7 linked regions of the Sus scrofa genome follow. The protein of the gene in region 7 binds, or shares a complex with, the protein of the main gene of each other region. Links are inferred from orthologs where the notes say so. Each region holds a gene or a part of one and is shown on either strand. Other genes may lie near its edges.

Region 1 (4,077 bases), on a different chromosome or scaffold from region 7:
TCCTTTTTTTGACATATGTTAACTAAGGTTCTAGAGGTTAATTTTCTTTTCTTTCTCTCTCTCTCTCTCTCTCTTTTTTTTTTTTAAGGGCCACACCCGAGGCATATGGAGGTTCCCAGGCTAGGGGTCCAATCGGAGCTGTAACCACCGGCCTACACCGCAGTCACAGCCAATGCTGGATTCTTAACCCACTGAGGCAGGCCAGGGATCCAACCTGCCTCATGGATGCTAGTCGGTCGTTTCCACTGAGCAACGAAGGGAAATCCCTGGAGGTTAATTTTCTAGGATCTTGCAACTCCTAAGTTGCATCATCAGGATTCAAACTTAATAAATCTGCTTCCTCACTTTCAGACTGTCCTCTAGGTGACAAAATAGAAACCATCAGAATGGAGTTTCTTGAATAATTCCCAGATTTCTGGCTTGGGCTCCTGGATATTGAACACCACCATTATCCATAACCATGATAGTATCTCCATTTACTGAGCTTTCCATGTAGAGGCATTTTAAATGCATTTTCCAATCTAGTTTTTTTTTTAAATAGTCATAGGGTGGCTAAGAGGCAAAGCATATTTGTTGGATTACAAACCTGAGCTCAGAAACCTAAATAGCCATTAACCAAGACAGTAAGAGCAGGGGTAAGAACAGATAAGACACATAAGATCACAAGTTTTCCTTTAAATAAACTGAATTTAAGGTGCCAGATGATACTTCCAAGTTACAGTAGGTTAAAAATTGAGTAGAAGTGAAGGAAAGGAAGACATCTTTTTAGGAATTTGGTTATAAAAGGATGGAATAAAAGAGTGGCAATCAGTAAGGATCACAGGTTGCTATAAGGCTTGCCTTATTTTGTTTTTAAGATGGGAGACACTTGTGCATGTTTACAACAACTAAAGATTCAGTAGAGGAGAAAAAAAGGTTGAGAAGTAAGAAAAGAAAAAGAAATAATAAGTTCAGATAAGAGACTGGATCCGAGTACAGCTAGAACCTCTTAGTGAGGACAGGAAGAGAATCACCCTCCTCTAAGATGAGAGGGAAGATAATGAAGATGGGCAATGTGGTAGGACAGGCTAAGTTAGAGAATTAGCTTCTGAGAAGTTCACATCTTTGCTTTCGCAATTTTTTAAAACAGGAGAATGTTCACCTAAAAGCGAATGATAAATGCCATAGGAAGCAAGGAGAGAAAGAGAAGTTTGGAAGAAGAAAATGATGAGTGATTTACATTAAAAAAGACAGCTCAGCTGAGGCTGGAGACAATACACTAGGCTAACATCCATCTGAAGAACTATTTGAAGTGATGCAAGTGGCTGGCTAGTCTGATCTAGGGTTGTATTCAGAGGCATAATACAGCAGAAATACAAAGGAATGAGGGAGTTGAGGGTACAAAGCAAGAAAACAGGTGAATTAACAGACAATGAATTCCAGACTAGATCTTGAAGAAAATAAAGGAACAGGCTGAAAAACTATGAGAAAAGAGAATCCACTGACTTTTATAGGAAGTAGAGAGTAGTAGAGTAAGGGAACTAGTAGAGTAAGGGAAACTATGATTTTTAAAAATGAAAGATCTCAAAAAAGAATAAAAGGAAAGCACCCTTTTCCCAGATCCACGTTTACAATTTCTAAGAGTTTGAACTGCTATAAAAATGAAATTTTAAACAGAATAAATTTTTGGTTGGCATTATTTAAAAACCAATCATGTAGAAAATATTAAAACTGACACTTACCACACATTGCAACAGACTTTGCTTCTTCAATAGATTGATGTTTGTCAGTTAAACGAGCTTTGGTTACTTTATGTTCATTTACCTCTTGTTCTAACCGTTGCTGTAATGATTTAAGCTTATAGTTTAAATCTATTTCTAAATTATTCTTTTCCTGTAAAATGAGAAGGAGAGTCATGTGATATGCTGTACAAAAGGCACATCATTAAACCTTACATTCATTAATATCTCATAAGAGATAACATATAAATCACATTGGCCTGAAATGTGATACCATATTTACTTAAATATTTTTATTCAGCACATAATTTTACATTATTCTTTCTTGTGTATTTCACGCTATTTATACTGTCTTACTTTAAAAGTCACAATAAGCATATATAATTAAAAGCAAAATGTCACTTTTCTTTACCCCTCCACTTCTTTCCATCTGAATCACTAGCCATGGCTCATGGTAGGACAGGGTTTTGCTGAGGAGGTTTTATTGCGAGGATCAGAAATGAACAGGACATTTCTTCAGTTCATTTAAACATTTTGTTACCTTAAAAAAATTAAATCACCTCTATTTATATTTGCATCTATATTTAAATTTACCTTGCTCCGATAAAAGAATAAGTCAAAATATATTCCATTCCTGTTTGGGTGCTTCTACTCCTCATTTTTCATCCCATTTCCATATTTATACCAGACTTAGACATCAAAAAGCTAATCTGAATGTCATAAAACATGTCCAAAGGATAAGTTAAATGGTGGGATTTTTGATCATTTACCTGAGGATCTACAAAACCTACAACATTTCAGGGAGGTATACTAAATCTGCATGTTATCTATTTAATCATTGTCTTAGCAAGGAAGGAACAAAGGATTTGTAATTAAGAAAATTCTAAACGTAAAGGACAACTACTTTATGCTCTACTATTTTGCTAACTTTTTTTTTTTTTTTTTCCTTTTCTAGGGCCACTCCTGCAGCATATGGAGGTTCCCAGGCTAGGGGTCTAATTGGAGCCATAGCCACCGGCCTATGCCAGAGCCACAGCAATGCAGGATCTGAGCTGCGTCTGCAACCTACACCACAGCTCATGGCAACACTGGGTCCTTAACCCACTGAGCAAGGCCAGGGATCGAACCCGCAACCTCATGGTTCCTAGTTGGATTCATTAACCACTGCGCCACAACAGGAACTCCTATTTTGCTAACTCTTAACAACAAAATGGAAAAAGTACACATGGTCTACTATACACCGATCTTTTATTTTCCTTCTTCCTAACCAGCAAGGTTCAGGATCTTCATCTTATCCATGTACAAAAATATGGGGAAAAAATTCTATATGAAGAGGCACCTCCAAACCAAAGCAAACTGTGATGATCAGATAGTATCAGATATCTAATACCCCTCAAGGGAAAAAACAAATAACAGAATAAAAAGACCAAAATAAGACTCACGTAGATCTCCAAATACCAGCCAATCATAAAAACTTTTAGAAATGCAAATATATAAAGATTAAGAGTGAATGCTCTTCATAAAACCACCTTATAATATATGATGACCAGTAAATGTGATCTCATAGTTGGTATGTTAAATCATTTACCTTTTCTGAATGATTAAGCATGTCTTGAGCATCTTTTCTTTCTCCTTCCACTCTTTCAAGATTATGTTTGAGATGCTTCACCTCCTCTTGTAAAGATGTAATTCGAGCTACCAAGTGAGAAGAAAGTTCAAGTCATACAATCATTAAAGGAAATCTTTATTTTTCCAACATGATAATTAAGATAAAAAAGTTTTAAATCTCCTGATAGAAATTTATTAGGTATTTTCTTGGTAGTATAAACAATAATTACAATATACAGTGATAAAGATATTAATTAGCTGGAGACCATCTAGTACATATTCTTCACTTTACAAATGGTCCAGAAATCATATCCGAGTGCTCTTTTCTGCCATGTTAATTAAGGCCAGTATTTAAGTGCTGTGGTTTTTTTGTTGTTGTTGTTTCTTTGTCTTTTTAGGGCTGCACCTGTGGCATACGGAAGTTCTCAGGCTACAGGGGTCGAATTGAAGCTGCAGCTTCCTGCCTATGCCATAGCAACATGGGATCAGAGCTGTGTCTGTGACCTACACCACAACTGTCCCTGTTCCTTAACCCACTGAGTGAGGCCAGGGATTGAACCCGTTTCCTCACTGGATACTAGTTGGGTTCGTTACATGAGCCACAAGGGAAACTCTTTTAAGCGCTTTTTATGTGCCAGACATTCCAAAAAGTGTTTAATTACCATTAAACTGAATGAAGCCAACCTCCATTGTTAAAGAAACTAAGTTTTAAGGAATTCAAGTGCTCTAACAAAGCTTAGTCTTAACCCAC
Region 2 (4,077 bases), on a different chromosome or scaffold from region 7:
AGAACTCAATTAGAAGGGTCGGGCTGACACTGAGGCAAGAGGAAAGACGGTGAGACAGCGGAGATAATACCTTGGGACCTGATTCAGGGGAACCTATTTAAAAGAGGTAAGTGGGAACAGCAATTAATATCTGTGTGCTCGCTATGGGCCAAGGGCTATTTACATGTATACTATTTATACCCAAATAATCCATTACATCTCCATTTAATGAAACGGAGGCTGCATTCTTTTAAATACAAGCCATTAGAAGCAGGGTGCCTATGCTGTCAATAACAATCCCATGTAATTCTGTGGTGCCTACAATCTCAGAACAGGCTCTGGCAGCTTTTTTGCTTCCATCCCTGGTGTCATCGGGGTGATCAGCGCCATCTGATCGCTAGGGAAACTAAGGCCCAGAAAGATTCAGGGCTCAGCTGAAGGTTGGAGGGTTGTTTTCAAAGACGAAATATGTCCTCTCCGTGGGACCTCTCATCAAATGCCAGATTCCTATTGGCAGCTGCCTACTCGGTTCTCCACTTTGATGTCTAAAAGAGATCTGAGATTTTGACACGTCTGAAACCGAGGCCCTGATTTTCTACCACAGGATCGCTTCTCACACAGCTGTACCTAACTCAACGGATGGCAGCTTCGTCCTTTTAGTCATTTAGGTAAAAAACGTGGAGTTTTTTTCCTTTTCCTTGGTTTTTCTTTCTCTCACATCCTATACATCAATTGTTAGGAAATCCTCCCGTTGGCCCTCCTGTCAAAACATACCTGGAACTCCTTTCACAGCCCCAGGGGCAATGCTCCCATGCCAGCCCTACCGGGGGACTTCCTGTAACTGACCTCCCTGCCTGGAACCCTCCTTTGCTCTCCCACCACTCTCAAGTTGCTCCCGGCTCCAACGGTTCCTCATTCACTGGGAGGAAAGAAACTTACAACTGTCCACAGCTTCTGGGAGGCCGCCTCTCCTGTCGCCCCTCTGACTTCTGCACTCAAACATGTCAAGCATGTCGCTCCTCTGCCCTGGCTGTTCCCTCTGCCTGGGATGCTCTTCCTCCAAGATGTTTCCGAGGATGCCCATGCCCCCTTTCCGAGGATGCCCATGCCCCCTACATGTAAACGTCTGGATGAGGCGCTATTTGAAGGTGCAATCCCCTGGCTCAGATGCTCCTGGGCCCCCTTGGCCTGCTCTGTTCCCTGATCCCCAACCCTCATTTTCTAATGTACTCTGCAATTTACCTGCATAATACACACTGCTTTTTCTTCCCACAATAGCACAAGCTCCACAAACATTGTTTCTCTACTAATGCATCCCAGGAGCCTAGAACAGTGCTTAGCACCATCGGAGACTCCATAAAAACTTGCTGGCTTGAAGTATCAGCATTAGTAGAGGCTACAGAGATTGTCTAGCCCAAGATCTGTCATTTTATAGATGAGACCGAGGGGGATGCAATGGCTTGATCAAGGTTACACAATTACTGAGTGGAGAAGCAGTACTGGGGTGAAAATCTACCTCTAAGCCTGGAAGTGTCCCCACAAAGTCAACCCAGGCACCTGAAACACTTTAGAAAATAGGGCTGGAAAGAGGCATTCACAGCAGCTGTGCCAGGAGTTCCTTCGTAAGTTTAGTTTGGTTAGTCTTCCGATATGATTAGTTAAAAACGGTCTGATTCCTGTAAGCCAGTTCTGCCTGCCTCCTGAAGGAACTTTACCCCCTGGAGAATCACTGCATGGCTCTTGTACTCAGTGTCAGATGCGATCTTAGCGGCAGGAAGGGGCCAGAAAGCTCACTGCGATGCTGAGGCCCGAGGTTTGTTATAACCACCAAACTGCCCTCAGAAGCTCCAGGCTCCACAATTCCCTTGAAACTCCCACAGACCCGGCCTGAGAAATGGAGCAGGAGGGCAGGATTCTCCCCAGCTTTCGGGGGAAGAAGGATCAGGCAAGAAGTGGCAGAGGGGGAGGGACTAGGAAATAGACCCACAAACTGTGTCAAACTGTTGGGCATGTTCAGGGGTGGGAGTGGAACCGGAGACTCACAAAATGTCTCCTAGGGCAGCCAGCTGCTTCTCCGCCACCTGGCGCTCGCGGAGAGGGTCCCCATCCAGGTCCAGCAGGTCGTTTTCACCATACAGGCTGCCCAGCCCCAGCGTGCGCTTTGTTCTGAGCCAGAGAGCGAAAGAAACAAACGTATACCAACGTCTGACAGAGAGGTGCACAGACACACACACCATACACACACACCAACACACACACCACACACAAACACACACACACACACACACACACACACACACACACACACACACACACGAGACACATACCCCGCAGGTCAAGAACAAGGGTGAGGAGGCAGAGGGGAGAGCGGGGCGGGGGGCACCGGGCACCTGTAGTCCTGGATCTGCTCCTGGATGTCGGGCATGGCGGCCTCCTGAGCCTCGCAGAGAACAGCGCGCACATCCTCGCCGCTCCGCAGGCGCAGGTCTGTGGTGGGAGCCCAGACAGGAAGGGGAGGGATGTCGGGAGAAGGAGGTCACATCTGCTGAGCATCTCAAAGCCTCTTAGCTGCCTGTGGCACCGGGGGCAGAGGCTGGCTTTCTGCCCTCCTGTCAGCCAAGGGAAGTGGAGGCCTGGACCTACCAGGTCATTCCTGAATTCAGGACTGGAATTCTGACATCCAAGTCCCAAGGCAAGGACAAAATCGTTTCCGGGATGTTCCACACTCCATTGAGTGGAGAACTATTAAATCCCCTCTCTGCCTGTGTCCAGACACTGCCCTCTGACATTAAATGCACACCTCTGCAAGGCTCATCCTCATTCCACCGCCCCAGGGTCAGCTCACAAGGCTGCAAAAGGCAAGCACTGCACAGGAAACCCAACTTCCCACCAGAAACTGGAAGGTGTCTCTCCTGTCCTTGCACCTGGCTTCACTCAGCTGAGGCTACGTCTCCGGGAGTGGCTGGCCACCCTCTGCTCTGCTTTGGAGCAAGTTCTCTTTACCCTCTGTCTGTGCCCATTAGCTTTCCTATCATCCAGGCCTTTAAAGGACCTCTTTTTGAAGGCAGCTTTGAACCAAGACCCTCTAGAAAGCTCCTGTGATTAGCCTCTCAGGTTGGCACCCTTCCTTGGCTCTTCCACTCATGATTTGACAACGAGAAGGGAACAGAGCAATCACCTAGCTCACTGGCTCCCCACCCAGCACAGGTTTAGGAACACACACCACCAAAAACACAAGAGCAGAAACACTCCAGAGAGTCTGACTCTGCGGGTGGGGTGGGGTGGGGGAGGCCCTGGTTTTGGTAATTCTAAGACAGAAGCCCCCAAGGGATCCTGATGATGACCAGGCTTAGGAATCCAATTTCCTCTTTGTACAGATGACCCAACCCAGGCCCACAGAGGTCAGGTGCAAGGTTGGCAGAAGTGACCCTGGTCTCCTGACCAACTCGTGCCCTGCCGTGACAGGCTTGATCAGGCAGAGTAGCTCCCAGTGGTTGTGCTTGTCCATGAGCTACTTTGAGGAGCTCTGGAGGAAAGGTCCCCATATCCCCTATTAGAGAACAGCTGCCCAAGGTAGAGACTATGTCCCTTCCATCCCTGAAGCCACCTCTGAAGAAGAGACTAGATGACCAAGGAGCCAACTTACCAATCTCAGCCTGTAACATCTCCGGGACCTTCACTCTCAGAGGCTGAAAAACAGAAGAGGGGGCAGAGTGGTGAGGTCCACACACCCCAGGGCATGGTGGGAATCGTGCGGGGGCAAGGAGGGCTCTGGGCACTACCTCTCCTCCCCCTTTCCCTACACGACCCCACCTCCGCTCACCCATCTCCACTGAACTCTAGCTAGGGATTCTGAGAACTGGCATCGGAGGCTACGAGGCAAGCTGGGACTGTATATTCTGAGGGTGGTACCTGCAGTTTTCCTGCTCTTATTTCAAGGATCTCAGGCTGTACTGAATGGAAAGGTTCCAAAAAGTGGAGGGGGGGACAATTTAGCAGCAGGGGAGGAGTCTTACGAGGTGAGTCGATGGGCTCCCCTTCTCCTTCACCCCCCAGGGAACACGGGCCTTCTGCTACTGCATCTTCCAGTGAGTGCGC
Region 3 (4,077 bases), on a different chromosome or scaffold from region 7:
GACAATAGTTAATTTTTTTTTAATTTTTTTTTTTTTAGGGCCACAGGTGTGGCTTATGGAAGTTCCCAGGCTAGGGGTCGAATGAGAACTGCAGCTGCCGGCCTACGCCACAGCCACAGCAACACCAGATCTGAGCTGCGTCTGCAACCTCCACCACAGTTCACAACACAGATCCTTAACCCACTGAATGGGACCAGGGATTGAACCTGATTCCCCATGGATCCCAGTTGGGTTCGTTTCCACTGAGCTACAACAGGAACTCTGACAATAGTTAATGAATGAAAATAAAAACTGGTAAGAACAGTCTGTTTCCCTGTAATACATGTCAAATTTTTGTTGTTGCTGTTCTTTTCTAGAGCCACACTCGCAGCATATGGAGGTTCCCAGGCTAGGGGTCTAATCGGAGCTGTAGCCACCAGCCTACGCCACAGCCACAGCAATGCAGGATCCGAGCCGCGTCTGTGAACTACATCACAGCTCACAGCAATGCCGGATCCTTAACCCACTGAGGGAGGCCAGAGATTGAACCCACATCCTCATCATTCCTAGTCAGATTCGTTAACCACTGAGCCACGACTGGAACTCCCATGTCAAATATTTTCTTCAGTACCTTACAAATCAAGATCATCAGTAAGAAAAGTAATTTTTTTTCATACTGGATTTATTTTCAGATTTATTTTATCTATGACACTAAATATAAATTTTTCACTGAGACTGAGTATTAAATACGTTGAGATTTAAAGCATGTATTAAAAACTGGTCCAGATTTTTTCTGTGTGTATAGTAAATACATATGTTAAAACACTTAAAACATCAAATACCTACAGTCACATGGAAGAAACATGCTACTCAATGGAAGACTGGAAACGTAAAAAGAGTTAAACTAACAAATTGAAAAATGAGTTATTTGTCCATATAAAACATACTACATGTCAAAGATATTAAAAATGCTATCTGTATGCTATAGTAATTCTATTCAAAGAAAAATATGTTTGAACCGGAGTTCCTGTTGTGGCTCAGTGGTTAATGAACCCGACTAGCATCCATGAGGACTCGGGTTTGATCCCTGACCTCACTCAGTGGGTTAAGGATCAGGCGTTGCCACGGGCTGTGGTGTAGGCAGCTCCGATTGGACTCCTAGCCTGGGAACCTTCATATGCCATAAGTGTGGCCCTAAAAAGACAAAAAAAAAAAAAAAAAAAAAAAAAAAAATGTGTTTGAACCATCAAAAGCCTAAGTTACTTACAGAGTAAATGTAGTACTGAATGTTAGAGCATCCCCATTAAGAGAATTTGAAGTACTTGCTAATGGTGTGGCTACCATGTTTTCAGCTCCTGCTTTTAGTATAATTAAGAAATAATAATTTGCAGCATCTGCAAGAAATAATCACATTACATAATAAGCATAAGCAAAATCAGGTTGAGATAATCAGCATTCTGGAAGACCAAATGAATAAATTAACACCACATAAAAATTTTTAAAGCCATCTTAATGGACACAAAAAGATAAGACATAAAAACAGAAAGTCATATTCCTGGAATAGCATCATCCAAGGTCCCTTCCTATTATGTGAAATGAAATTACTCTGCATCCCTCAGTTTCTGCTGACTTCTACTTTTACCTATTGACCCCAATTCTTTAGCTAATAGTATATATCTCAAAAGGGTAAATTATGACTTGCTATTTCCAAACTGAGATTAAAATAAATTATTTCTTCACTATCTGTTATTAAATAGCCACGTATCTCAAGGTATACATGAAATTACCAATAGATTTCTCCCTATACCCCACCAAAATCAGACAACAGCTAGAATTAGAATTTAAATTACCTCATTTCTGCAACAAATGTTCAAACATTAAAGATCTCCAGTCTTTACTTTCCCTGTACCTCAGATTCTCATCTAGCCCTCTACTCCCTCAGAGAGAATGTTCCAGGCAAAAATGTGAAGCCATCTTTAAAAAAATTATCCAAGATTTAATTTTATTAAGCCTGCTATAATTATCCTGCCCTGTTTTCAGATCCTGGTGCCATAACTTCCTTAACTCACTTTAAATGCTTAAATGTGATTTTAAGAAGAGTACACAGTTTAGAAAAGTTTGCTTTTTCAATCTAGAGCGACAAAGGGAATAAAATTTCAATAGAAAATTATCTACATTATGTTGCTCTTCACTCCCACAAACAGTAATTCGGGATTCACAGAACAAATTTCTTTAATGAAGTGAATTTTAAATTAAATAGAGTAAATAAAACAAGTTTTAGATGCCCAATACTTTCCACTATAAAATTAATGCAGTCAAATGGTCTGCTGTGTCAGAATAACTCATCTTAGTAATTTATCTTATGTTCATATAATTAATTTATAATATGTTCATAATTTAATTATGCAATATTATATTTAACTTAGGCTTACTTTCAATTAGAGCCATGTCTGTTGCTGAGGGATCAGTAAGGCGATATATGAAATTCTTCCTTGGTTATTTTTATACTTTTTTTTTTTTTTTTTTGTCTTTTTAGGGCCAAACCTGCAACATATGGAAGTTCCCAGGCAGGCTAGGGGTCAAATTAGAGCTGCGGCTGCCGGCATACATCACAGCCACAGCAACACAGGATCTGAGCCACATCTGCGACCTACACCACAGCTCATGGCAATGCCGGATTCGTAACCCATTGAGCCAGGTCAGGGATCGAACCTGTGTCCTCATGGATGCTAGTCAGGTTTGTTTCCGCTGAGCCACGATGGGAACTCCCTATACACATATCTTCATAAAAGGAACTAAAGGCCCAAGATACAAACCTTGTATCTTTATGCTCTACTTGTTCCCATTTATACAATTCTAATCTAGATGAGATTTGTAATCCGACATATGATCTAGAAGTGAATAAATAAAAATCACCATACCTGGTTTCTGAATTGTACTGCAGACAAAATCTGCTTTTAGAGGCAAGCGGATTTCTGACAAAGTAATTGATCCTTTAGAAGGGACAAATTCACTTTGGGATGTGGGACTAGCCTTATTCTTCCTCTGAGGCCCTTCATTCTTCAATTTATTCAACTCATCAATCAAAAGTGTTCTCTTCTCAGCTATGAAGAAATATGCAAGTTAACATTTCAAATATTAAAACTGCAATTGTTTCTAAATGAAGCCAATTCAAGGCAATGCACTGATATGGCAATTGTATCTAAGACCAAAGAGGAAATCAGTAACTTCCTTCAGACAAACAGGTGGTAGGTAGTTAGGAAAAATCCTCATTGCTTATCTGTTCACCAAATCCTTAAAATTTAACTACACAGGAAAACTGACCAAAAGTTGAGGTGTTAATCTCTCCATCCTAACATACCCTGTCTTTCATCACCACACACATATGTATACAAGAAAATTCACCTAACTTTTTTTAGCTATACATATATATATAGGTACAGGGATAGAGTGGGGGAGATGTATAAATATATTCGTATATTCACTCTTAACATACTCTTTGCAACTACTTTTTTTTTTTTTTTTTTGGTCTTTTCTAGGGCTGCACCTGTGGCATATGGAGGTTCCCAGGCTAGGGGTCTAATCAGAGCTGTAGCCACCGGCCTACGCCAGAGCCACAGCAACGCAGGATCCGAGCCCAGTCTGCGACCTACACCACAGCTCACGGCAACGCCGGGCCCTTAACCCACTGATCGAACCCGCAACCTCATGGTTCCTAGTCGGATTCATTAACCACTGAGCTACGACGGGAACTCCTGCAACTACATTTCTTAAAAAATGCATTCCAGGTTCTTTCCCCCTTTCATACAAACTATATGTTATTTTACATGCGGTATTTTCACAAACTTTATTACAAACAAAAAATAGGTCAGCTGAAACATTATCAAAAAAGCCCTTTCTCTAAAATTAGAAATTCCTGAACCTATTAGATAAAATGAGATTTTCCTGCTTTGAAACTGTTTATCAATATACATACTTGCAATTAGAAGAAGTCTTTCTGCTTCAGCTTCTTCTAAAGAACCTTTTCCATGCTCTTCATCAACACAACAGTTAAGAGCCTGGCTAGCTTGATAGATCACTGTCTGTTGCAAATTTATT
Region 4 (4,077 bases), on a different chromosome or scaffold from region 7:
GCTTTCTGATGGCGGCAGTTTGGCCATTTCTATCAGAAACACTAATGTACTTACCCCTTGATTCAGCAATCCCAGTTCAGGGATTGTATCCCATAGAAACACCTCTGCACTTGACATATGTTCATGGTTATTCAAAGCCTTCAAGACCAAAAGACTAGAAACAACCCCATTTCCTCCAGTAGGGGTCTGGATAAGTGAATGGTAACTACCCACATCATGAAATATAATGCAATTAGGGGAACAGGGACAACATCACACAGACATTGTTATGCTGTCACTCACAGGGTGACACTGGCATTATCACTTTCTCACCAGTGTAGGCACTGTTACACATACCCACAGGCAGATGAACACACACTCTCACAAAGATGCTATCACGCTGCTACACAGGGACACTGTCACAGGATTGAGGCTGATATTACATAGATATGTGCCTTGTCAACCTCAAGCAAAGGGACACGGTCACAAGGGCAGAGAAAAACAGTCACAAAACATAAACACCCTCATAGGACACAGTCACATGGTGGCAAAACTCCCAGGGTTCTAATTTCAACCCAAGGAGAATCACAGGAACACAACCACACTGCCATGTGGATCAGGCATAGGGACAGGTAAAGAAATGCTGCCACATTGTCACACAGGCAAGGTAGCATCAGCAATACTCATAGAAACAGAGACCCAGTCACAGGGAAACAGGCTGGCTACCATATTCAGGGCAAAGTCCTGGGGACACAGCCACAGTTATCCAATGGCACAGGGATAGACACTGTCACACAGGTATGGGAAACCTGTCACCTAGGGACATGAGGTCAAAGTCACCCTTATCCACGGCTGTAGATTCCAAGGACAGTCTCATTGTCCTGCATAATGACCCAGACTCAGACTCTGGCACTCAGAGAGTCACAGTCACCCACAGGTGTGTGGCACTCACCAGGACTGCTGTCACATGTGCCCAGTTACCAAGACTTTTATACTTGCAGGGACAAAAGCAAGCTGCCACCAAAGGTTACAGTGTCACCCAGAGGCACAGGGACATGATCATACCATCGCACACTGACACTGAGAAATTCACGTAGGCATTCAGAGTTCATACAAACAACCACACACACCTCCGCACTACAAAGACACATACATTGTCATCCGTGTTACAGGTCCAACTGCTATGGACTGCATGTTTCCCTGCAAACTTCATATGTTGAAACCCAACCTCCAGTGTGATGTCTTTGGAGGTGGTGACCTTGGTGCCCTTGGGAGATGACTAGGTCATGGGGACTTTGCCTGCATAAATGGGATCAGTGTCCTTATAAAAAGGGCCCCAGAGAGCTCCCCGGCCCTTTCCAAAGTGAAGACACAGTAAGAAGGCATCTGTCTGTGAATGTGGGAGAGGGCTCTCACCAGACACTGGATCTGCCAGCGCCTTGATCTTGGACTTCCCAGCCCTCAGAACTGTGAGAAATAAATGTCTGTTGTTTAAAAGCCCCCTCCCCTATCTGTGGTACTGTGGTATATTATAGCAGCCCAAATGCACTATCACTCACCAACAGTTGACACTTCTCTATTTCTCATGGTGACAGGCAAATTATCATAGTTACAGAGCATCCATACAACCCCTGGTCCCCATGGCTAATATCACATTAATACTGACACACATCAGTAGCCCATGCATACATCAAGACTCCGTCACAAATTCAGGCTGACAATCAGGTTGAGACCCCTCCCACCCCGAGAGATTCATACACTGAAACACTCACAGAAACACACACACTGAGGACACCACAGGGGCCAACATGACAAGGCAACCACCTAGTCCAGCGGTCTGCCCATCTTTTCCGTAAGAGTCACAGGGTAAATATTTTTGGCTTTGCAGACCACATAGTCTTTGTTGCCACTACTTGGCTCTGCTGTCAATGCCAAAGCAGCCTTAGGTGACAGTAAATGAATGGGTGTGGCTGGGTGCCAATAAAACTTTATTTACAAAAAGGCAGTAGCAGATCTGGCCCAAGAGCTTTGGTTTGCTAACACTTGATCAAGTGGAAACTTTGAGTGGGACAAAATGAGAAACTGAGGCCCAGAGAGGGTCAAGAATGGGTTCCAGTCACATGATGAGTCAGAGCACTCACCTCCCTGCCCCAGAAAGGAACCCCCTATGTGACTGGGAGCAGAACTCTACAAGATAGGATGCAGGCTAAGCTGTATCAGGGCAACGGACTCACCTTGGGCCTCATCCGGGGCCGCCTGGCTCTCCAGCTGGCAGGCCTGCAGTGCCCGGCGGAGCTGCATGCGGATGATGTCAATCTTGGTCTTACTGTCCTGCAGCATCTGTTGGGCCGTCAGCAGCAGCTTCCGGTCCTAGAGGCAGAGATGGGCCGTGAGAGGAAGGCTGGCCAGATGGGAGACTGACCAGCAGCTCTTCTGTCCACACCAGTGCAGGCCCTGAGTAACCCATGGCATTTGAATCCTGGCTCTGCTACCTAAGACTGCTATCTGTGTGACTTTGGGCAAGCCACTCAACCTCTCTGGGCCTGTTTCGTCATCTACAGGACTGGGATTGCTAATTGGATTGCAACCACCACTCGGCTGAGGATTAAAGGAGCTAATCTGTATGTAGGGCTCAGTGCTGTGCCTGGCACCAGCAGGCACTGTATTTGTGTCAGCTGTCAGAAAGGCATACGTGTGGCTCAGTGTTCCCCGTGGTGGGTGTAGCCCTGACAGGAGTCACGTAGGTGGGTCCAAGTTCCCTGACCAGGGAACTCCATATGCCTTGGGGTGGCCAAAAAAGAAAAAAAATATACTACACATCCCTTTGTTACACCTCAATAAAAGGTTTAAAAAAAAAAAAATCTGGCATGGTCTGTGCCCTCCCACGTAATATTCACCTTTGTGTGTGCACACAGGTATGGGTGCTCTCCCGGGTCTCTAGCTATAGGTCTGGCTGTGCTTGTGGGTGTATCTCTGGGTGTGGGTGCAGACCTGTGACTGTGTTCTTGGTGTTGGTATAGCTGGGGGGAATGACTGTGTGACAACTCTGCTCTCTGGGTGTGAATTTAATGGTGTGCGTGTCTGTGTGTCTAGACGTCTGTTGGCCTGTACTGTGTGTCCTGGGGTTATTATGATGGTATGTCTCTACGTGTCCAGAGAGCCCTGTGGTAGTCATCCTCCATGTGTCCAAGTGTTGTTACTGCTGTGTCTCTAGATGTTATAATGGTGTGTGTGACTCCAGGTGTTGACCTGCACGTGCACATGTCAGAGAGATGCCAGTAGCAGTGAGAGGCTGCATGTTGCCCTGTCCACAGAGGCTGCTGGGTCTCCAGGGCTAACTGCTGTGTGTCTGTCTGACATCACCCAGTCACTCTGTTTCCCACATACCACCATGAGCTGCCTGCACCCCAGTTCTGCCACTCAGTCATTCATCAGTCCCTCTGTTCCCAACCCAGAGGGCCCAAACCTCCCATGGGGGACATGTAGGTACCCCCCCAAACCCCCTCACTGTGTGATGTGCTCCAGGCGTATGTGCACACAGGGGTGTGTTCACTCGTGCTGCCCCCACCTTGGTGCTGCCGTTGCTGTACGTCTGGATCATGTTTTCCGCCCCCTGCTTCACCTTCAGCTCGATGGCCAGCTGCTTCTCCAAGCCAGCCACGAGGCTCAGGTTGGTGGCTGAGCAGGTTGGGCCACCTGCACCGGGGGACTGGGGGGCATCTGGAGGGGGTGGGTGGGACAGAGTCACCATGGCCCTCACCTCCATCTGCCCAGGAAGCTTTGCCCCAGCTGAGAGAACCCACCCGGGAGGGCCGGGAGGAGAAAGAACTGGGGGCCAGGGGACCCAACCACACCATCGGTCACAGGAAACCCTCTCAGCGCTGGGATAGGACCAGCATGAATGAGCATGGGCAAGTGTCCAGGGGTGCATGAGTGCCTGGTGTTGGTGTGACTATACATACCTTTGTACAGAAGCCCCCAACTATGTACATGGCTGTGTGGCTGTCCATGGGTGTGGCTATGCTTATGTCTGTGACCCGAAGGGTGTTGGCATAACTGAGCATATGTGTCACCCCAGGTGCTAGTGTAACTGTGAGA
Region 5 (4,077 bases), on a different chromosome or scaffold from region 7:
AAATGCCATGTAAATAATTGTAAACACAATGTTAATGCAAAGTAAATAGTTTACAGCATGTGGCAAATTCAAGTTTTGCTTTTTGGAACTTTCTGTTTTTTGTTGTTGTTTTTTTTTTCCAAATATTTTCTATCCTTGGTTGGTTGAATCTGAGGATGCAGAACCTGTGCACATGGAGGGCTGACTGAACTCAGGCTGAGCAATCTTTATATCCTTTCTCAGTCGATAATCTTATGATTATCTTGTTAGAGGATGATTGCGTTTCAGGGTACCAGGTGCCCAGTTTCATCCTACGAATAATAAGTTCATCTCCAAATCTGAGAAATGGGGGGTCCACTGAAAGAACCAGTTGTAACAAATAGGGGAACAGGGGCCTTTTAATGAGAGAGGAACAGAGATACCCACATCGACACAGAGACACAGACACAGAAAGGATGGAACAGAGAGTCTCACAGCACGACAGAGGCAGGATACCAAGAGTAGAGGACAGAGCATACAGACCCGGGGAAGCAGACAGAGGGGTACAGACACCAGATCCAGATTTGGTCAGATGGAGTCAGAGAGATGCCTGGGGACAGAGAGACCCAACAGCTGGGAGAACAGAAGAGGCACAGAGTGGTGGCTGGATAGGCAAAGGATCAGGGGAAGGGGAGGAAGGTGGTAGCTTCCATGGGGAGTTGTCTGTCCGTACCACACAGGAGGGTTGGCCTCCTCGGTGCTGCAGTTCCAAAAAGGGGTCCAGTTCCTCTTGGCTCCACTGTAAGGGGTCCTTCTGGGGGCCTTCGCATCCCGATGCCTGAGGTTTGTTCCTGAAACGCACATTGCCATCACTGGCCTCTGAATCCAGCGGCCTGTGACGGGCACCAGGGAGGAACACCGCCTCAGCCCAGCCCTGCTGCTTGCCCCCAGCCCAGCCCTTCCTGTTGGCTCAGGCACAGCCTAGACCCAAACTGGCCTCCCTTCTGGGACTGGGCTTTGGCAAAGCTGTGATGCTGACTGTAGGCAAGGGTGGCCCCTGCTGGTCAAAAGATAGTACTGCCGTCAGAAGAAAGCCAGCATTGTGGGGTGGGCAAGGGCAAGCTGGATTCCCACTCCTTGCCTAGTTTCTGATGCCAATCTTGGCCCCTACTCAGACAAATAGTGTCCCCAGGGTTCCGTTCCTTCTTTACCTAAAAGGGTATAATTAGGGCCTCTAGTGAAAGATGACACCTGGAAGATGCTGAGATACAGCCGGCACTGTGTAAGGGGTACTCAGGGCATCTCTGCCTTTGACCAGCTGCTCTTAGGAAGGTGTGGTGAGTCCTGCGGACAAAGGCTTCTCACCCAGGTTCCCACCTAAGCCACTTCAGGGACAAGAATCCTCTCCCATCACACAGCCCAGCCAGCCCTGCCCAGGAGCTAGAAAAGCTTGGTCTACTCACCAGCATTAAGACAACTTGTCCAAGGGGACCATTGCCAAAGCAGAGAGACAGGGCCCTTCCACGGCTAGCAGGCCCTCTCAGCGACCACTCACACTGAACTCTTCACACTGAGCCCCGGACCTTCTCTTTCTGACTTCCTCTGTCTTTGGGGAAGTGGTCAGCCAGGGATTTTCCAGGAGAGGGGAAGAGCTGGGTCCCTCTCTTCTGGTCTGCCAAGCACATGCAAACCCCTGCACAAGAGCAGCTCTTCCACCATTGCAGGGCCATTCTATGATGTCCAAACATCATGGACCCGCAGGCAGGCAGAAATTTGGGAAAGTGCCAGGTTCAACACTCCAACTCTTTCAAGAAACCTCCCAAAGTTCGCTGGGGCTGTTTCCTCATGTGTGAAATGAGGAGATTGTGCCATACGATCTCCAAGCCCCTTTCAGCTCTAACACTACTATATGTGGAAAGGCGCCACACCTCTCCTGCTCCATTTTCACACACCTTCCTTTGAGACCAGGTAGAAAGGAGGAGCTAGGACCACTAGGGAGGGCCACATTTTGCTTATTTTTTGGGGGGTGGGCTGTACCTGTGGCATATGGAGGTTCCCAGGCCAGGGGTCCAATCGGAGCTACAGCTGCCAGCCTACACCACAGCCACAGAGACACCAGCTCCGAGCCATGTCTGCGACTTACACCACAGCTCACGGCAACGCCGAATCCTTAACCCACTGAGCAAGGCCAGGGATCGAACCTACAACCTCATGGATACTAGTCGGATCCACTTCTGCTGCACCACAATGGGAAGTCTGAAGGCCATATTTTGAAAGGCAGGGTCCATCCTCCCTGGATGGACCAGGGAGGCCCACAACAGGCCTGGGTTCAGATTCTCCAGGGGAGAGACTAGGGGCCCAAGTCACTTCAACTCCTATTGTGCTTTCCAACCCTTTCTCCTAGGTCAAGGACTTGAGGGAAGGAGGGACAGGAGGTCCTCCAGTGGTTTACCTGCTCAGTGAATCCTGGAGCTCCCTGCCTGGTCCCCAACTATGTCTTTTGAAGGGGTCGTAGTTGTGGCTGTGGGCACGGAAAGCCCCCGACCTTCGGAGGGGTACGTCATGGAAACCATCTCCCTCCTTCTTTTTTTCCTCCTCTGCCTCCTCTTCCTCTTCCTCTTCCTCCAGCTGCTCTCTGGACTCTACCACAGACAGGCAACGGCGAGTGTGGCCTTGGGGCACTAGGTCTCCACCTGCGAGGAACACTTCTGGGACGTCTCTGTTCATGGGAGGTACACACAGTCCAGTCTGAATCAAGAAGACAGAGAAGGGTGAGCAGAGTTCTAGAATTCTGGAAACTTGGAACCAGAAAAGTGTCACAGTCAGCCAGGCTGAGATAATCTAGTCACCTCTCCCTAGATCTAGTCACTGAGGCGCAGAACTGGAGGATGGCTGGCTCAAGATCGCACCAGGAATCAGCTGCAGAGCCAAGTCTAGAAGTTTTTTTTTTTTTTTTTCAGGCCCGCACCTGCGGCATATCGAGGTTTCCAGGCTAAGGGCCAAATCCGAGCTGTAGCTGCTGGCCTACACCACAGCAACAGCCACGCCAGTTCTGAGCCACATCTGCTACCTACACCACAGCTCATGGCAACACCAGATCCTTAACCCACTGAGCAAGGCCAGGGATCGAATCCACATCTTCATGGATACTAGTCGGATTTGTTTCTGCTGAGCCACAACCAGAGCTCCCAAAACTTGGGTTTTCTGACTCCCAGTCTAGTGTTCTTTCCAGTACATAATGACATCCTCATTCACTCATTATTATTCCAGTTAAGGGCACCTACATGGCAGAAAAAAAGCCAAGCAAAGAGAAACTGATATTGTTCTTACGCTCAAGGAATTCATTCAAGTGAGTGTGTGTGCACATGTGCGTGTGTGCACATAGATAAAAACACAAATCACAAACGACTGGTCAGAGTTTGCCAAAAGCCACAAGAGATTTCAAAAAAATCCTTCATAGGAGTTGTCTTGTGGCTCAGCAGGTTAAGGATCCAGCGTTGTGCAGCTCAGGTGGCTGCTGTGGCGCAGGTTCGATCCCTGGACTGGGAACTTCTGCATGCCATGAGTGCAGCCAAAAAAGAAAAAGAAGAAAAAAAAGGCTTTGTGCTCCTAAAAGAATGGTGCATATAACCAGTTGGAGAATTCAAAAAAAAAGGAAACAGGAGGAAGTAAATAGCCTTTGAGGTGGGCCTGGAAGGGTGGAGTGGTTAGGACTTGGCCACGCTGGAAGGGGAGGAGTCTAGGCAGATAAAGCACCAGGAAGAAAAGGTGCCTGACTGAGAAAGTATTATGATTTCTTCCTTCTAAGACTCCGGTCATCTGGGAAGTCAGAGAGTCATTCTGACCTCTCCCCATGGAGCAAAGAGAAGGCCTCCAACATCAGCCACATTGAAATTCCTTCTCTCTCTCCCAGTGGGCATGGTTCTCACTGCTCGATACTCTTGGCTGCCATCAGGGCTTGCCTCAGTGTGTCTGAGTCAAAACTCTCAGGAGCTCTTAAAAGTTGAAAATGATAATCTCCACTCCAGAAACAAGTACCAAATACCAGAGTACCAAAGTGGTGGAGGGGCAGGAAGGCAATGCACATCTACAGCCTACCTCTGCACACCCCTTCCAAGG
Region 6 (4,077 bases), on a different chromosome or scaffold from region 7:
TCAGGGTCAAAATATCACCACCATCAGACTCCTGCTGCCAGTGCTGATTCCCAGACCAACCTCCTCAGATGTGACTGCAGCCTGGTGAAGCCTGGGTTGGCCACTCCCTTTTGGATACTGGTCACTGGATGGCAGATCACCAGGCCAGCCCAACCCCTTGATTAATTTCCCCATCCCTAATCTTTCCCCAATGACCTGTGTCACTAAGGTCCCAAGGCATCGTGACATCAAGGAAGGAGCCAGTGCTGAGCAGCCCAGGCTGCTCGATTAATGATTAAAATGTGCCCTCCCTCATATCCACACCCCTTCAATGTGGCTTTGTAGCTCCTTCCACCAAGAGGATAGAGTCTATTTCCCCATGCTTTGAATCAAGGCGGGCCTTGAAACTTGCTTTGGCCAAGAGGGTGAGCCAGAAGCGATGCCGGGCCAGGCAGAGACCTTGAACACTTCTGCTCACATTCTGGGAACCTCAGACCACCACTGACCAAGTTCCAGCTAGCTGGCTGGAAATGAGTGACCCTGGGGAAGATAGTAAAGTCAACCCAACAGAGGCCACCCTAGCTACACTAGTCAGCTGGTAGCCAACCTGCCAGCGGAGCACAGACACGGGAGCCCATCAGGATTAGCCAAATATGGAGTTCCCTGGTAGGCTAATGGTTAAGGATCTAGCATTGCCATTGCTGTGGCTCAGTTTGATCCCTGGCCTGGGAACTTCTGCATGCTGCAGGAACAGCCCCTCCAAAAAAAGATTAGCCAAATCTGGCCCGGGTGACCACAAGCACCCAGCTGACCCACAGCTTTGAGAGTAATGATAAATGGTTGTTTTAAGCCACTAAGTTTTGGGTGCTCCTTTTGCAACCATAGCTAATATGCCAGTTTTATCACATCCATGCTTTTGCATTTGGACAAGTTATTTAACCTTTCTTTTTCTTTTCATTTTTGGCTGCCCTGTGGCCTATGGAGTTCCTGAACCAGCGGTCAGATCTAAGCCGCCATTGCAACCTACACTGCAGCTGCAGCAATGCCAGATCCTTTAACCCTCTGTGCCATGCAGGGGATCAAACCTGCAACCTGGCAACACCAGTCCTGTTGCACCACAGCAGGAATTCACATTTAACCTTCCTAAAGCTCAGTTTCCTTATCTGTAAAAGGTGGTAATAAAGACACTTACCTTACAGACTTACTGGGGGAATTGAATGAAGCAGGGACGGGCACCCAGTGAGGAGTCTACAAACACACGCTTTATGGTGGCTGATCCAGCCCTGGTACCGCCCCTGCCAGGCTCACCCAGGCACCCAGAGCTCACCTGAAGCGTAGCCGATCATGAAGAGCAAGTAGACCAGCAGGAAACGGAAAAGATCTTTGAAGAGGATCTAAAGGCCCCGGCGGGGATACGGAGGCAAAGATGAGACATGTGGTTTCTCACTTGCCCCACTCCTCATCTCAAGTCTTCCCTCCAGATCCACTTTGTTCCCCCTACCCACACCCCGCCGATGTCCAGGCCCTGCCTGCGGCCACCACGGTGCCCCCATGTCCTCAGGGCCCTGGCACTGTCTGCATATGTGTGTCCAGTGGGTGCCCTGCTCCTTACCTTCTGGATCATGATGCTATAGGTCCCTGTCAGCTTCAGCCCACGGGTGAAGTACAGGGCATTCATCCAGCCCAGGACCAAGGCAAAGACCATGACGGCCAGGTAGGCCTCAATCCCCGCCAGGTAGAGGCCCGCGGAGACAATCACCAGCACAGAGTAGATGAAGCTACAGGGCAGTGGAGACCGCCAGAGGGGAAAGGGGACAATGAGGTCCTGGAGGGGGAGGCATGCCCTTGAGCCCTCTAGGTACCAGGACATCCCGATGACCCGCAGCAGAGAAACCACATGGATTCACCGGGTTCTCCAGCATTCTGTTAACCAGAACACCCAATTAATTGGCAGCTGATGTGTGTGTAATGGCCCTGAGGCCCTCCCAGATCCCAAAGTGATGTGATTCAGAATTGCTAGAGAAAGATTCAGTGGGATTCAGTGGAGATTTTGTGGCTAAGGGAATTTCATTGTTCTCTAAGGATACGGGAAAAGATATAACACACATGCAGCAACTCATCCTGTGCCCTAGGCAGACATCATTAATCAATCCCAGCACTCGCTCCCATTAAACACAGACACAGCCTCAAGATTCTTAACATGGGCACTCCTGGCAGACATTAGCAATGAATCACAAGCAAAGGAGGTTAGATTATTTTTATCTGTGGTGTGCATGGTGATAACTCTCTAGCAACCAGAATCTTGCTTTACCCAGTAGATCCTTTTGCTTGATAGTGACCTTGTCTTGACTTTGGGCTGCAGATGTTCAGGCTGGGTGAATTCACTCCAGCAGAGCCACTCCCACCACCACCAAACCTGAGCAGTGTCCCTGCCCAAGCCCACCTTCCTCACCCAGAAGCCACCAGTCTGGGGACCTCTACTCACTAGAGTAACTGGAAGGAGCCATCAATGAAGAGAGAATTCACTCCAGGGCATTTCTTCATGAACAAGTCTTTGATCTGGAGGCGGGGGCATGAGAGAGATGGAGCCAGCAGGAGTGCCAAGGGGAGGAGAGAGGAGCTAAAAGAGGTGGAGGAAGAGAAGGAGGGGGGCGGGCAGGTGTGTAGGGTGGGGGGCCAAGCACTCACGTTGGTGAAAAAGAACAGGACCCCAGTGAAGAGTGTGATGATCTCACCGGCCAGCCTCAGGTAGTCCACCGTGGTGTGGTAAGGGTATGGTGGCTGGGGGACAGGGGGCGTGCGAGTCCTCACCCAGCCCTTCTAACACCTGGCCCCAGGTCCAGATGTTCCCCAAGACCCCAACCATCTGGGTCCTATGGCACCTCTTCCCTCATTCTCTTCCCCTGGATGTACAGAGCACCCACCATCCTGTTCCTAAGCCCTCTCCAGTCCCTCCCACAGGGGACCCAGCTACACCCCAGCTCCTGCCTGGTGCATGGTCACTCACCGTGCCCTCCAGAGGCTGGTAGTAAGCGGTGAGGGTAAAGATGACCATGGCACACAGATAGGAGACCACATTGATGTAGAAGGAAACTGCCCCGAACTTGCGCCACTTGTCCCGCAGCAGTTCATTGATGGGTTCCACGGCCAGCATCTCGTGGCGGTTCTGTGGGAGGCGGGGTGGTCGGGGGCCAGTCAGGCTGGTTCGGGGCCAAACAGTCTGAGTCCAGCATGCCTTCCCCACCGTCTGCTCTGAGAGCATTCTTCCTCCTAACCATTCTTCAGTGATACTCAAACTTCTGGGCCTTTGAGGCTCTGCCCAATTCCGCCCCAACTTGCCTTTCCAGACTCTTCTAGAGTCATAGGACTCAGGGCTCGAAAGCGCCTAAAAGAAATCTCTTCTTGTGGTTTCCCCAAACTCCAATCTGTGGACGGAGCTGAGCTGCTGGCAGCAAAATCAGCTATGCAGCTTGTTAAAAATATAAGTCCCTGGGCTCTGACCTCAGAAATTCTGATTCAGGGGAGGGAGAGGGATGGACTGGGAGTCTGGGGTTAATAGATGCAAACTACTGAATTTGGAGTGGATAAGCCATGAAATCCTGCTTTACAGCATGGGGAACTATATCTAGTCACTTGTGATGGAACATGATGGAGGATAATGTGAGAAAAAGAATGTATATATGTGTGTGTGTGTCACTTTGCTGTACAGTAAGAATTGACAGAACACTGTAAACCAACTAAAATGGAAAAAATAAAAATCATTAATAAAAAATAAAAAGAAATTATAATTCAGGAAGTGGGGTTGGGACATTTAGCCTAAAGATGATAAATATGTGACCCACTACAATTTTTCAATTCTGAACCCAGGGCAGACATCAGTAATTGAGTCCTGCACAATAATCCTCTGGATAGCTCCCTGGGCAGACACTACCAATCAATCAGAGTTTGCAGCAGAGATGCCAAACCTCCCATCATCTCTAAGGTAAATCAAGTTGGTCACTAATTTCAAAGATGAAGGAAGTAAGATCCAGCAAGGGAAGGCATCTGTCCACCCTCACAGAGCCGGGGCTGGAAGTGAAACCTTTTGCACCCAGGCCC
Region 7 (4,077 bases):
CCTTTGAGAAGCATAATCAATAAGGACCCACAGACCTAGTAATCTCATACTTCAGCATTTAATGAAATACTATGATGGGGGAAAAAAGTCCATCCATACAAGGATGTTCATTTTAGTATTATCCATTTGGCAATACACTAAATTTCAAATATGAATAAGGCTGGAAAGAACACATATTCTAAGGCTTCCCAATGTGAAATACATATGAATATGGCGGTAGTTCTCATCAAGCCCACCTGTCCCTTCTGCAGAAAGACCCAGGAGCTCCTCAGCCAATTGCCCTTCAAAGAAGGGCTTCTGGAATTTGTCGATATCACAGCTACCAGTGACACCAACGAGATTCAAGATCATCTCCAACAGCTCAAGGGAGCCAGAACAGTACCTTGGGTCTTTATTGGTAAAGCGTGTATAGGTGGATGCATGCACTGATCCAGTAAGTATGCACTAGAGAGGGGAGCTCTTGACCCGCCTGGAGCAAATTGGAGCTCTGAAATAGTTACAGAGCAGACCCAGGCTGCTGGAGTCTGATAGCCCCCTTGAGAGCTGGATGGCAGTGCAGATAATGACAGCGCTTCCTGGTGGATGGACACAGGGCTACCTTCACCCAGCTGCAACAACTGTTTACTTAAAATTCTGAAATGTGTTAACCCAAATAATTGGGGGGGGGAGTGGGATTTGGGGGGAAAAACCAGATTTTTCTTCTGACTCCATTATTAAAAGTGGATCAACTTGCCCCCCCCCCCAAGAGGCCTAATTCTCTACAGGCTGTATGAATAGCCTAACATGCAAAACAGTACCAATTGTTATGCAAAGTATACTCACCTGCTTTCCATCCACCTCGATATCTGCAACATAGTTTTCAAACACGGTAGGTACATATACCTCCGGGAATTGGTCCTTGCTAAAGACAATGAGCAAACAAGTCTTGCCACAGGCTCCATCACCAACAATCACCAGTTTCTTCCTGATGGCAGCCATTGCTGAAACATAAAATCAAAGTGTTGTCTAGAATGCACAAGAAGCCATAATAGTCTCAGGCCATGACAAATACTTTTCTGGCCATGTGGCACAAGCCTTTATTAACACATCAAAATACAAAATGCTGGAGTTCCTGCTGTGGCTCAATGGGATTGACAGTGTCTCTACTGCTCATGGGCTCAGGTTTGATTCCCAGCCTGGTGCAACGGGTTAAGGACATGGTGTTGCCACAGCTGTGGCGTAGACTCCAACTCCAGCTTGGATTGCCTGAGAACTCCATATGACACGGGGTGGCCGAAAAAGGGGGGAAAAAAAAGAAAATAAAACACCAGTATACCTTTCCACTTAGGACCAGTAAGTCATATCAAAAACCTATAACTAACATTATACTTAATGGTGAAAAGACTAAAAATTGTCCTGCAAGATGAGGAACAAGACAAGAATGTCCACTCTTTTTTTTTCTTGCCTTTTCTAAGGCTGTACCCATGGCATATGGAGGTTCCAGGCTAGGGGTCAAATCGGAGCTGTAGGCGCCAGCCAGAGCCACAGCAACGCAGGAGCCAAACCACGCCTGGGACTTACACCACAGCCCACAGCAACGCCAGATCCTTAACCCACCGAGCAAGGCCAGGGACTGAACCTGCAACCTCATGGTTCCTTGTTGGATTGTTAACCAATGAGCCATGACGGGAACTCCAAGAATGTCCACTCTTGACACTTCCATCCAACATAATATTAAAAGTTCTGGCAATTAGGCAAGAAAATGAAATAAAAGACATTCAGATCAGAAAAGAAGAAGTAAAATTATCTTAATTTGCAGGTGACATGATATTATACATGGGAAATCCTAAAGGATCCACTAAAAAACTATCGGAACTAATAAATTCAGCAAGGTTGCAGGATACAAAGTCATCACACAAAAAGCGGAGTTCCTATTGTGGCTCAGCAGTTAACGAACCCGACTAGTATCCAGGAGGATGCGGGTTTGATCCCTAGCCTTGTTCAGTGGGTTAAGGATCCAGCATTGCCCTGAGCTGTGATGCAGTTTGCAGAGATGGCTAGGATCCCACGCTGCTGTGGCACTGGTATAGGCCGGTGGCTACAGCTCTGATTGGGAACCTCCATATGCCACTAATGCAGCTCTAAAAAAACAAAACAAAACAAAACAAATCAATTGTATTTCTATACCCTAGCAATGAACAAATTGAGAATGAAATTAAGATTTTATTTACAATAACATCAAAAAGAATAAAATAAGAATAAACTAAGCACAAGAAGTACAAAACATACTCTGAAAACTTAAATACTGTTAAATGGGAATATCCTACAAATTAATCTACAGATTTAACACAATCACTATCAAAATCCCAGCTAGCTTCTTTGCAGACACTGACAAGTGATCAGAAAATATGCATGGAGGGAGTTCCCTGGTGGCTTAGCAGGTTAAGGATATGGCATTGTCACTGCTGTGGTTTGGGTTCGATTCCTGGTCCAGGAACTTCTGCATGCTGGGGGAACAGCCAAAAAAAAAAAAAAAAAAAAAAAAGAGAGAATGGAAATTCAATGGACTCAGAATGGCCAAAACCATCTTGAATAAGAGCAAAGTTGCAGGACTCACAATTCCTGATCTTAGAACTTACTCTAAAGCTACAGTAATCAAGAAAGTGTTGCACTGTTGTAAAGACAGACAGATATACAGCAGAAACTGGCACAACACTGTAAATCAACTATATTTTAATAATAATAATAATAAAAAAAAAGATATGAGCTGCCGCTGTGGCGCAGAGGAAATGAACCCAACTAGTATCCATGAGCATGCAGGTTCAATCCCTGGCCTTGCTTAGTGGGTTAGGATCCTGTGTTGCCATGAGTTGCTGTGCAGGTTGCAGATGTGGCTCGAATCCTGCATTTCTATGGCTGTGGCATAGGCCGGCAGCTGTAGCTCTGCTTTGATCTCTAACCTGAGAATTTCCATATGCTGCAGTGTGGCCCTAAAGAGACACTCTCCCCCAAAACAAAACGAAACAAAAAACACATAGATTGGAGTTCCCATCGTGGAGCAGTGGTTAATGAGCCCAACTAGGAACCATGAAGATTTCAGTTCAATCCCTGGTCTTGCTCAGTGGGTTAAGGATCCGGCGTTGCCGTCAGAGACGCAGCTTGGATCCCGCTAGATTAGACCCCTAGCCTGGGAACTTCCATATGCCGCGGGTGCGGCCCTAGAAAAGACAAACAAACAAAACACACAGATCAATTGAGTAGAACTGAAGAGTTTAGAAATAAGCCCTTGCATTCAGGGTCAAGTGATTTTCAACAAGGATGCCAAGACAATTCAATGGAGGAAGAAACAGCGTTTTTAACAAATGGTGCTCAGACAACTGACAACTGAATAGATACATGCAAAGAAAGGAAATTAGAGCTCACATCAGATGAAAACTAGCTCAAGATGGACTACACTCCCAAACATAGGAGCTAAAACTGCTGAATGTTCTTAAATTTAAAAAAACAGTAGGAGTTCTTGTCGTGGCTCAGTGGTTAACGAATCTGACTAGGAAACATGAGGTTGCGGGTTCAATACCTGGCCTCACTCAGTAGGTTAAGGATCCAGTGTTGCCATGAGCTGTGGTGTAGGTCACAAACGTGGCTTGGATCCCGAGTTGCCACAGCTGTGGCATAGGCCAGTGGATGCAGCTGTGACTGGACCCCTAGCCTAGGAACCTCCACATGCCCAGGGTACGGCTGTAGAAAAGACAAAAAGACAAAATTAAAAAAACAAAACAAAACCCAGAGTAAAATTAACTGTTTTAATGTTTCACTCAGCATAGTGTCTTTGAGGTTTCTTCACTTAGCATGTGTCAATTTCCTTTCTTTTTAAGACAATAATATTTCATTGCATGTATATACCACCATCTGATTCATTCATTCATCTGAGAGATACTTGGATTGCTTTTACCTTTTAGCTATTGTGAATAAAACATTTAATCACAATATAATGTAAATAGTATATCCACAAAGAGATCCATCACCATGAATCAAAGAAAAAAGAAACTGGACTTCACAAATTTTTTTTTTTTTTTTTTTTTTTTTTTTTTTTTTGCT

What was found.
Region 1: the proteins of RHOA (region 7) and ROCK1 are in contact, whole or in part, in a crystal structure (PDB 1S1C), measured with the Homo sapiens proteins. The link is inferred for Sus scrofa from reciprocal best matches to the Homo sapiens genes RHOA and ROCK1. Residues at the interface, in NP_001300870.1 of Homo sapiens: Val38, Phe39, Asp65, Tyr66, Arg68, Leu69, Leu72, Pro75; in NP_005397.1 of Homo sapiens: Lys999, Val1003, Asn1004, Leu1006, Ala1007, Met1010, Asn1011, Arg1012.
Region 2: the proteins of RHOA (region 7) and ARHGEF11 are in contact, whole or in part, in a crystal structure (PDB 1XCG), measured with the Homo sapiens proteins. The link is inferred for Sus scrofa from reciprocal best matches to the Homo sapiens genes RHOA and ARHGEF11. Residues at the interface, in NP_001300870.1 of Homo sapiens: Arg5, Thr19, Val33, Tyr34, Pro36, Thr37, Val38, Glu40, Asn41, Val43, Asp45, Glu54, Ala56, Trp58, Asp59, Ala61, Gly62, Gln63, Tyr66, Asp67, Arg68, Leu69, Arg70, Leu72, Ser73, Pro75, Asp76, Pro96, Glu97, Pro101; in NP_055599.1 of Homo sapiens: Asn715, Gln717, His718, Glu737, Val738, Glu741, Thr745, Ser748, Ser837, Lys844, Arg867, Arg868, Leu869, Gln870, Arg872, Asp873, Ile876, Met879, Gln880, Arg881, Thr883, Lys884, Leu887, Leu888, Ser891, Arg914, Leu917, Lys918, Val920, Asn921.
Region 3: the proteins of RHOA (region 7) and ANLN are in contact, whole or in part, in a crystal structure (PDB 4XOI), measured with the Homo sapiens proteins. The link is inferred for Sus scrofa from reciprocal best matches to the Homo sapiens genes RHOA and ANLN. Residues at the interface, in NP_001300870.1 of Homo sapiens: Tyr34, Val35, Pro36, Thr37, Val38, Phe39, Glu40, Asn41, Trp58, Asp65, Tyr66, Arg68, Leu69, Pro71, Leu72, Pro75, Asp76; in NP_061155.2 of Homo sapiens: Met729, Thr732, Val733, Tyr735, Gln736, Ala737, Gln739, Ala740, Cys743, Cys744, Glu748, His749, Gly750, Ser753, Glu755, Glu758, Ala759, Leu762.
Region 4: the proteins of RHOA (region 7) and PKN1 are in contact, whole or in part, in a crystal structure (PDB 1CXZ), measured with the Homo sapiens proteins. The link is inferred for Sus scrofa from reciprocal best matches to the Homo sapiens genes RHOA and PKN1. Residues at the interface, in NP_001300870.1 of Homo sapiens: Met1, Ala2, Phe25, Ser26, Lys27, Asp28, Gln29, Val43, Asp45, Ile46, Glu47, Gln52, Glu54, Thr163, Lys164, Arg168, Glu169; in NP_002732.3 of Homo sapiens: Glu40, Arg43, Arg44, Ile46, Arg47, Leu50, Lys51, Lys53, Glu54, Glu57, Asn58, Arg60, Arg61, Leu77, Arg78, Ser81, Leu84, Asp85, His88.
Region 5: the proteins of RHOA (region 7) and ARHGEF2 are in contact, whole or in part, in a crystal structure (PDB 7G9I), measured with the Homo sapiens proteins. The link is inferred for Sus scrofa from reciprocal best matches to the Homo sapiens genes RHOA and ARHGEF2. Residues at the interface, in NP_001300870.1 of Homo sapiens: Arg5, Lys7, Lys27, Gln29, Val33, Tyr34, Val35, Pro36, Thr37, Val38, Phe39, Glu40, Asn41, Tyr42, Val43, Asp45, Glu54, Trp58, Asp59, Ala61, Gly62, Gln63, Tyr66, Asp67, Arg68, Leu69, Leu72, Ser73, Pro75, Asp76; in NP_001155855.1 of Homo sapiens: Asp215, Ser216, Ser218, Leu219, Asp238, Val239, Glu242, Thr246, His249, Cys342, His345, Ser346, Leu349, Lys353, Lys376, Arg377, Gln381, Glu382, Leu385, Leu386, Thr388, Gln389, Ile391, Thr392, Lys393, Leu396, Leu397, Arg400, Lys423, Leu426.
Region 6: the proteins of RHOA (region 7) and TRPV4 are in contact, whole or in part, in a cryo-EM structure (PDB 9IQX), measured with the Homo sapiens proteins. The link is inferred for Sus scrofa from reciprocal best matches to the Homo sapiens genes RHOA and TRPV4. Residues at the interface, in NP_001300870.1 of Homo sapiens: Met1, Ala2, Ala3, Arg5, Tyr34, Pro36, Val38, Phe39, Glu40, Asn41, Tyr42, Val43, Glu54, Trp58, Glu64, Asp65, Arg68, Leu69, Leu72, Pro75, Asp76; in NP_067638.3 of Homo sapiens: Lys177, Arg179, Thr181, Glu183, Glu184, Arg186, Pro188, Arg224, Glu225, Asn228, Ser229, Pro230, Arg232, Arg237, Asp263, His265, Ala266, Gln267, Arg269, Asp313, Arg315, Arg316.

Annotation. Positions count from the first base shown.
Region 1 is NC_010448.4:106,203,247-106,207,323, forward strand, and holds part of ROCK1 (rho-associated protein kinase 1), read right to left. Parts: intron 3,414-4,077; coding exon 3,307-3,413; intron 1,873-3,306; coding exon 1,722-1,872; intron 1-1,721. UniProt on the Homo sapiens protein: Protein kinase which is a key regulator of the actin cytoskeleton and cell polarity.
Region 2 is NC_010446.5:93,132,352-93,136,428, reverse strand, and holds part of ARHGEF11 (rho guanine nucleotide exchange factor 11), read right to left. Parts: intron 3,669-4,077; coding exon 3,626-3,668; intron 2,467-3,625; coding exon 2,370-2,466; intron 2,146-2,369; coding exon 2,023-2,145; intron 1-2,022. UniProt on the Homo sapiens protein: May play a role in the regulation of RhoA GTPase by guanine nucleotide-binding alpha-12 (GNA12) and alpha-13 (GNA13). Acts as guanine nucleotide exchange factor (GEF) for RhoA GTPase and may act as GTPase-activating protein (GAP) for GNA12 and GNA13.
Region 3 is NC_010460.4:37,672,736-37,676,812, forward strand, and holds part of ANLN (anillin), read right to left. Parts: coding exon 3,956-4,077; intron 3,084-3,955; coding exon 2,901-3,083; intron 1,374-2,900; coding exon 1,247-1,373; intron 1-1,246. UniProt on the Homo sapiens protein: Required for cytokinesis. Essential for the structural integrity of the cleavage furrow and for completion of cleavage furrow ingression. Plays a role in bleb assembly during metaphase and anaphase of mitosis.
Region 4 is NC_010444.4:64,814,564-64,818,640, forward strand, and holds part of PKN1 (serine/threonine-protein kinase N1), read right to left. Parts: intron 3,700-4,077; coding exon 3,548-3,699; intron 2,350-3,547; coding exon 2,214-2,349; intron 1-2,213. UniProt on the Homo sapiens protein: PKC-related serine/threonine-protein kinase involved in various processes such as regulation of the intermediate filaments of the actin cytoskeleton, cell migration, tumor cell invasion and transcription regulation.
Region 5 is NC_010446.5:94,032,665-94,036,741, reverse strand, and holds part of ARHGEF2 (rho guanine nucleotide exchange factor 2), read right to left. Parts: intron 2,707-4,077; 5' UTR 2,686-2,706; coding exon 2,411-2,685; intron 1,559-2,410; exon of another isoform or gene 1,428-1,558; coding exon of another isoform or gene 1,422-1,427; intron 810-1,421; coding exon 692-809; intron 1-691. UniProt on the Homo sapiens protein: Activates Rho-GTPases by promoting the exchange of GDP for GTP.
Region 6 is NC_010456.5:41,156,507-41,160,583, reverse strand, and holds part of TRPV4 (transient receptor potential cation channel subfamily V member 4), read right to left. Parts: intron 3,146-4,077; coding exon 2,987-3,145; intron 2,761-2,986; coding exon 2,668-2,760; intron 2,539-2,667; coding exon 2,465-2,538; intron 1,758-2,464; coding exon 1,592-1,757; intron 1,374-1,591; coding exon 1,307-1,373; intron 1-1,306. UniProt on the Homo sapiens protein: Non-selective calcium permeant cation channel involved in osmotic sensitivity and mechanosensitivity. Activation by exposure to hypotonicity within the physiological range exhibits an outward rectification.
Region 7 is NC_010455.5:31,928,523-31,932,599, forward strand, and holds part of RHOA (transforming protein RhoA), read right to left. Parts: intron 3,573-4,077; exon of another isoform or gene 3,557-3,572; intron 981-3,556; 5' UTR 979-980; coding exon 823-978; intron 1-822. UniProt on the Homo sapiens protein: Small GTPase which cycles between an active GTP-bound and an inactive GDP-bound state.